2 linked regions of the Nothobranchius furzeri genome follow. The protein of the gene in region 2 interacts with the protein of the main gene of each other region in a biochemical or structural test. Links are inferred from orthologs where the notes say so. Each region holds a gene or a part of one and is shown on either strand. Other genes may lie near its edges. The genes, in order: pros1 and f5.

Region 1 (4,363 bases), on a different chromosome or scaffold from region 2:
AACAGGCTTTCTAAGAAATATGGTCTCACCAGAATATTACTTTTTCATACATTGATATATGACACTGAATTATTTTTACTTAAAACACACCAGCAAAATTTCATCTTAAAAAATTCAACAGCAGAATTTCAATGGGACTGCTTTGGACTGGCTATTCAAGATCCTGGTCTTTGTTTTCAAGTCTTTCCCCACCATATTTAGCCTCACTGCTGACCTGCTATGTCCCTGCAAGATCATTACGTTCGGGTCAGAGTGACCTCCTGGTGGTTCCGCAGTCAAAGGTAAGTCCAGGGGTGATCGTGCCTTTTCGGTTCTGGGTCCTGGGCTTCGGAACCAACTCCCACTAGAAATAAAACATTCCACATCACTGCCCATTTTTAAAGCTAGGCTAAAGGTTCGTCTAGTTCTTAGCTTTTGTACTTTTTAATGTTCTGATCATTTTTATTTTATGGCTTTTTAAATCTTTTACTGTCTTTTAAATGTTGTATTTCTGCATTTTATATAGCTGTTTTATTGTGTTTCAGTTGTTCTTAACACTTTGTTCAGTACCTTGGGTCCCCTTGATTGGGGTAGGAAGGGGCTTTATAAATAAAGTTGAGTTGAATTAAAGTGGAATCAACTCGATTGAATGATGATTACTTTGCTTTGGTCACCAGGAGGTCACTTCAGCTGTTGAATTTTTGCTGTTGAAATTGGCTCAATCCCTATTCTCCCATTTCCACCCTTACGCCCTTCAATTGTGTTCCCAAATAGGGGTGCCAGTATGTAGGGTGTCCCTATTCTCAAGTGCAAAAGGTGACCGTACCCCCTTTGCACCCTTGATTTGCACTTCACCCAAGTCCGCTTTGATGAAGACTTCAGGCAAGGGTGTAACCCATAATCCATTGCTGCATGGGAATTTTGAGAAGAAGGTGGAGCAATAGCTCAAGTGCCTTTTCTGAAAAAATGTATTTTGAAATGACAGAAGTTAATTTTATGTATTCATGCTCTGAATGTTTTCGACTAAGATTTGATGTGCACCCCCTCTAAGTGCACGTCACAGAAGGGCATAGGGTGCAGTGCGAGTATTGGGATTGGGCCATACAATTGAAATTTTACAGATGGAATTTTTTGCTGGTGTACTTTAAGTTCAAAATTGTTCATATACGCAATTTCACAGAAAATAAAATACAATTTCATAAATTCTGTGACTAAAAAATAAGTCATTTTCTGGTGAGACTGTTTTTCTTCCATAGATTCCCACCATCCAGCAACAGCTCTCACCGTCTCAGGCTGGTTCTCAAAGATCTCCCTGGCCTCCTCCTTGTTGCACAGCTCCTCGATGCACTCCCTCTCCAGGTTCCCCTTCTTGCTCTCCTCAAACATGGTGTTTGCTCTCCTGTGCCTGCTCAGGAACTGAGAGGCTGTGTTCTGGCTAAGGACTGGGACAGAAAGTCTCAGTTAGACGAGATGTAGAAAGCTGTATTTTATTTCCTTTACCCCATATTTGCTGTAAAAACATTAAAACCAAACACACACTTTACTGTGTAAAATCTCTTAAAGTACCCCTCCACCCTTTAAAATAATTTTCTTTGAACTTTGGCTGTTTTTTCACATCTTTTTTCAATGTTAGCTAGTTTCACGTAACTCTAACCTATACTGTAGTCATCTAAAATCAGAACAGACAAAACAGACAATTTGCAAAAGAAATATTTTATATATGACATAGGTTATAAGTTGAAATTTCTTCACATTTTTTATGTTATTATTCAAAATCTTCAAATACAAAAACTGTTTAATGCATGAACAACATTTTAGCATCAAAAAGAAATTTACAATGAGTCATTAGCTGAAAACTTGACATAGACCAACTGTTTATTTTTAATGTTTTTGCATAACATTTCCTTTTCAATGGCTTTTTGTCTTCCACTTGTCACCCTGACTGATTTTTAAGCATAGGAACAGGAACTGAAGAGGAAATGAAAGAAAAGTGCAGCTTAAATATAAAGAAAGACTTTGTAAGACTTTTAGAAATCCACAAGTTATTCAGGAAGTTTAAAACCTTTACAGATTTTTACTTGAATAAAAACACAAGACTGCATTGAATTTAAACAAACAAGGAGGCACCGGTCCTTTCTGTCAGCTCTTTGATGAATTTAGATATTTTGTTTTTATTTCTTGCAGATGACCTTCAGACATACAGGCTATCGGTTGTTAATAATTAGCAGGACTGACACTTTTTGTCTTGTTTTTAAAGTGCAAAAAAATCTTCCAAAATCTCATAAAATAACTAAATAACTGATCAAAACAACCTTCTATAAAAGTCTATCTGCTTGGCAGCTAAATTATGGTTGGTTTAAATCTTTTGCACACTACTATAATAGAAGTGGACAGATCCTTTCTGTCCTCCAGACACATGGTTCCCATAGCTGCTGCCTCCTAATTGCTTTTCTATGAACAGAACCATTGCGAAACCCGTCATTTCCCAGAAACAAGCCCCGGTTGTTGTAAACAGATTTTTGTTTCCCGGTGCATAGAAGTCACGGTCCTTCAGAGTTGCTTCTTTCAGAGCCTGAATCTGGTGCGTAAAGGTAAATCATACTTACATCGATCAGCGTCGAGCAGCGTCACCAGAAACATGAGACAAGCCAAGGGTCTCCCTAGGGCCCGCTTCATTTCAGAGCCGTTCTTCCTGCTGGGCCAAGCTCTGGTTCTGGGTAAAGACCGGCTGAGCACAGCTTACTGGAAGAATAAAAAAACTAACCTTTTTTCCTCCCGAAAGTGTTTTTGTAGAAAGAGGAGGAGGTGGGGAGCACGTTGACACACTTGGCCCTGTCTGTCTTTTGTTTACTCTAGGAGGCTGAACTCATGCAGAAAATGGGTTTACAATGCAGAACAGGGGGCCCAGGACACAAAGAACCAATACTGACACACACCACCAGGCCTTCATGTGACATGCATGCTGTTTTAGAAGGTGCTATGGGGTGCAGATTGTAAAAGTAAAACATGTATTCGCTTTTTCAACATGTTGATCTTGGAGTTTTAAATGTTACATCCAAATGTTCAGGCACGAATCAGTAAACAGTCAGAGTGCAGGGGCGCCTCCAGAAAATTTTGATAGGGGTGGCCAAACAGCGCCAAATTTTTTTTTTGGGGTGGTATATGGAGCTAGGATTGGGACAATATTCAGCGTAACTTGTACCAAGTTTTGTAACTTCGAACATGTTTCATCACATGTAACTTTGGATTCGTAACTTGTAACTTTGGATTCGTAACTTGTAACTTTAGTTTTCTAACTTATAATTCTCAATTCGTACTTGTATTTCTTGTTTTGTAACAGGAACATTGTATTTTGTACATGTATTTTTTATTTTGTAAAATCAAACTTTTATTTTGTACATTTACTCATTTTGTAACATCAAACATTCATTCAGAAACATGAAACTTTCGTTTTGCAACTAGCAAACTTCCAAATTGAAAAAATGAAGGTACAAGTTTGAAATCAAAACTCTCAAAACACACATTTCATTTTACAGGTACAAACTATCAAAGCACAAAGAGGACTCAAATGCAGAGCTCACACAGTTTTAATAAGCAGAAGGGATTCCTGGAGTACAACACAACTGAAAAGTCCAAAACTAACTGAATACACTTTTACCAAATGTTTCTGAGAGCAGGTTCACATCACACAACAGGAGAAGACAAACTGGCAAAGAAAACTGTTGCAAAGATGCTTAAATGGAGAAGCCAGGACCCAGGTGCAAGACATGAGGCAGATTAGTGAGGAGCTTCATGTTGTGAAGCTGCCTGTGATGAGACAGGAAGTGAATGCACAAAATAAATCAGGAAGTACCAGAAATACAATAAAACCAGAAACAAGACTGCAAAGCACTCAACCTGCAGAATCACCCATGACACATACCTCAAATCTACAGTGTTACAGATCTTTTTGTCTCGATTCTAGCGTCAGTGGGAGGAACTTGGGTGGAACCAATGAGAGCACGAGTCTTAGCTACCAATCAAGTTTCTCGAATTCCTGTCCAATCATTGGGAGAGGAGGGCAGGGTTCCGTCAGAGCTGTAGAAAGGGAGAGTTACGACACTCTTTGAACTCACCGACTCGCGGTCACGTGGTTCGTGGAGCTCTCAGTTCCAAAGATCCCACAGCGCCGTAAGTCAATTTGAACAGCGTATGGTGGGACAAATCACAAAAACTTAATATAATCACATTTCCCTTGGGGAACTTGTACATGTATAATAGCATTTTTAATAAAGCATTTTACCAACATTGTTTAGTCATTAAATATGCACAAATAAGCTGAATCATTAATTATGAGCAATGTACTCAAGACCTAATGAAACTATTTTGAATAACTTTATTTTGA
Region 2 (3,818 bases):
ACGTGTCCTGTAGGTTTTAGTATTTCCAGATTTTGTGAGTATTGGTAAAGCATGTTTATCTCAGCCTGAGGTGTGATGTTGAATGAGGAAACACATTTTTTACTGTTTTACATGTTTAAATGTTTTGTCCTGAGGACTGTTGTGAATGGAGAGCTTTTGGGGATGGCAGGTTGCATCAGACACGACAGATATAGCAATTATGTCACATCTTCTATTTATCGATGAAAACATATAAAATAATCGTAATGCATCAGGATATCAAATCGATTTGAATTGTTGACACAATAATTGTAATCTAATCAGGAGACAAGTGAAGATTCACACCTCTAGTGCAGGAACAGCAGCGGTGTGCTGTAATATTGCAGGCTGGTGTAATGAACCACCAGCAACCCCAAAGATCACTTTCACTGCTGTGAACTGTGTGACATCCCTCTACGGGTCACAGCCTTCTGTCTGCATACGTGTGACTGAACAGTCTGTGCATAAGTAGTCAAAAACACATTAGAAAGAATTAAATCAACAAAAGTCAAACACGAATTCCTTTTGTGACCTTGACCCTTCCTTTGCTGTAAGGTGTCAGCATGTGTGCTCATGCCCCTGTGAGCCTCCATATGGCAGGAATGAGCTCAGAACCGGAGGCCTTCTCTGTGCACATCAACGGTCAGGTGATGACACAAGGAGGCCACAAAGTGTCATCGGTTGGGCTGATCAGTGGCTCCAGCGCCACGGCCAGCCTGGTGGCTCCATATGCAGGCCGCTGGCTTCTCTCCTCAAAAACCATGAAGCACATAGAAGGTTGGTGTTCCTTTGAACCCCCGGATGAACAAAGGACAGGTTTACTTCATGAAGCTCAACGTACTCTTATTATTGCAGCTGGCTTGCATGGCTTTGTGGATGTGCAGAAATGTGACAACTTTGAGGAACCATCACGCAGAATGACAATTGCACAGCAACGACAAAGCAAAGAATGGACCTACTACATTGCTGCAGAGGAAATCATCTGGAACTTCTCACCCAATCTTCAGGACCATGTTGATGCGTGAGCAGCATTACCTTAGGCTTGTACCCATAGTGTTACCTGCTGACCTAACTGCTAAATGTTTGTTTTGTCGGTAGGGACTTCCAACGACAGTACCTGACAAAGTCACCAACACATATTGGTGCAAAGTACAAGAAGGCGGTGTACACCCTGTATACAAATGCATCGTTCACTGAGAAGCTTGAGAACAAACAAAGGAAAAGTGAGCTGGGAATTCTTGGTCCAGTAATTAGAGCCCAAATCAGAGACGTCATCAAGGTGAGACCGTTTCCCAAAGGTGTCTGAAATCTGTTGTAGATGTAGCATCTCAGCAACCAGCGCTAGCAGCACCGAGATGGAAACTGTAGGAGCACTGCAAGAAAAGATGCACATTTTTTGCTTTAGTCTCACTAAATTTATGCTCACATCCCATTTTGCACGAATTCTGCACAAATGTCTCACAAGATCTCCGCTGACTTCCATCAAAATTCTCCGTGGGAGGTCCCAAGACTCTTGCGTCTGGTCTTTCATCACAGTGTCACTCAGTTGTCATTCACATTTGTTGTGAATGTGGTAAAAACAGCAACAGGAATCTGTGCCACACAAATACAGGGCCAGCACTCATTTGTCATGAGACTGGAAACACGAGATTAGGTCTGGGAGCTCCAAGAAGGAGTGCAGAAGCTGCTAGATGAGCACCGTAAGTGGAATGAGGCCCAGGCTGAAAACTGCATCATATCTGGTTGCTGGTGGCTCTAGGGAAGTCAGTGTGGTTGACATGCTTATGAAAGTCCTTACAGACAGGAGTGTGAGGGTCTCCTCTTTGAATGGGCCCAGAGATGAGTCAGCAGATGGTGGAAGGCCCGACCCCAGGCCTCTGATAAAGCCCAGCTCAACATGGATTTGAGATGTGAGCAAATACTCAGTAACTAAAGAGACACAACTTGTGTCTGGAGAGGGAAGCCCTACATCTCACTCAAGGAACCTGAGAACAGCCATAACTGCACCAGCCCAGCTGGAAGCTTACACCAGTGTGCTGGATGGTAAAAGGCACTGGCAGCTCATTGAGATGCTGCTGCGACACGCTGACAGCCAACAGCACGGGAATGCTCAGTGGAAAAACAAACAGCGGCATGTATGATGCTTTTATTGTGAAAAATCTGATTCCCCATCCCGTGTTTGTAGGTTGTATTTAGAAACATGGCTTCAAGACCCTACAGCATCTACCCACATGGGCTGACCATAGACAAGTCTGAGGAGGGAGTCACCTATCCAGAAGGAGGTATGGCTCTTGCTGCTTTGTGAAGCTGCTCTGTGGTTGGATTACATCTCATGAAGTGACAAAGCTTTTCGTGATGTGGTTGACAGGAAACAAATCTCATGCCATCCAGCCAGGCGAAACACACACCTATGTCTGGAATGTGCTGACAGAGAATGAGCCTTTGGATAAAGATTCTAGATGTTTGACCCGAATGTACCACAGCGCAGTGGACACACCACGAGACATTGCCTCAGGACTCATAGGACCCATTCTCATCTGCAAAAGTCAGTCCCTCAATGTCAGAAATGTGCAGGTAAGCACGATGTTTCATCGATCCATTTTCATCCGTTTACTCAGAGTCGGGTTGTGAAGGCAGCAGCTTTAGCAGGGAGGCCCACGCTTCCCTCCACCCAGCCACTTGGGCCAGCTCTTCTGGGGGAATCCTGAGGCGTTCCCTGATATAGTTCCTCTAGCAAGTCCCAGGTCTCCCCTTGGGTCTCCTCCTTTTTGGATGTGCCTGGAAAACCTCACCAGGGAGGTGTCCTAAACAGATGCCCAAGCCACCTCCACTGGCTCCTCTTGATGTGGAGGAGCAGCGGTTATTTAATTAACTAAGAAGAGACTTACGGGACCTGGTTGAAATGTCAGGGATCACACTCACCAAGAACCGTCAGCATCCACCCCCAACTAGCACATGAGTCTGCTTATAGCTCAGTTTATCCATGAGGCTGCTAACTCACAAAATGCTCTGAAATCTGCATAAGACAGTTTCTACACAAACTCTGTCACTTATTGTATTATTTATTTTTACAGATAAACAACTACAGAGAACAACCCCTTATCCCCCCCACCCACCCCCACCCCTACCCAGTCCATCATTCAGTCCAGCCAGTGTTACAAAAATAAATAAAAGAAAAGAAAATAGGGGAAAAATAGTCAGCAGCATCATTTCCTACTCGATGTTGATTAATTCAATGGTTGCAAGAAGAGGTCTTCTTCCATTGTGAAAACTGTCCGCCCGTCAGCAGTAGATTAGTCAGATCTGTGGGTATGCAGTCAAAGACAGTCCCTGCCTGTCCTTGCCCCTTACTACTGCATGCAACCTTTCAGGAGGAAGACTATTAAAGACCTCTCTGTACCAAAGGGTGACGCTGGGTGGTGAGGTCTTCCTCCAGAATGCACTTTTAGACAATTAGGAGTTTGTCGAGGACATTCTGATGCAAATCTTTAGAAGGTAGGCCTTGTAGGAAAACCCAAGGGTCATTTTTATTTTAAACATCCTGTTGATCACCTTTGAAATGAGTGTCCAGAATGTGGAAATAAATGAATGCGTCCAAAAATAATGATAATGTGTCCTTTCCCCTTTGCACTTGAGGCAGAGAGGGGAGAGAGAGTGGTCGAGTTTGTTTAAAATGACGGGAGTAATATGCAGCCTGTGGAGAATTTTACGCCTGGAACACACCGGGAAAGCGCGACAAAGTGCCACGAAGCGCCGTGGACGAGCGCTTCTAATCGGCGACCTTGTTGACCAACGCTCTC

What was found.
Region 1: the proteins of f5 (region 2) and pros1 form a complex in vitro, tested with the Homo sapiens proteins (2 studies listed by BioGRID). The link is inferred for Nothobranchius furzeri from reciprocal best matches to the Homo sapiens genes F5 and PROS1.

The regions. Positions count from the first base shown.
Region 1 is NC_091749.1:37,283,537-37,287,899, reverse strand, and holds the start of pros1 (vitamin K-dependent protein S), read right to left. Parts: upstream 2,906-4,363; 5' UTR 2,656-2,905; coding exon 2,586-2,655; intron 1,422-2,585; coding exon 1,264-1,421; intron 1-1,263. UniProt on the Homo sapiens protein: Anticoagulant plasma protein; it is a cofactor to activated protein C in the degradation of coagulation factors Va and VIIIa. It helps to prevent coagulation and stimulating fibrinolysis.
Region 2 is NC_091754.1:39,109,846-39,113,663, reverse strand, and holds part of f5 (coagulation factor V), read left to right. Parts: intron 1-573; coding exon 574-795; intron 796-873; coding exon 874-1,039; intron 1,040-1,116; coding exon 1,117-1,297; intron 1,298-2,203; coding exon 2,204-2,300; intron 2,301-2,386; coding exon 2,387-2,592; intron 2,593-3,818. UniProt on the Homo sapiens protein: Central regulator of hemostasis. It serves as a critical cofactor for the prothrombinase activity of factor Xa that results in the activation of prothrombin to thrombin.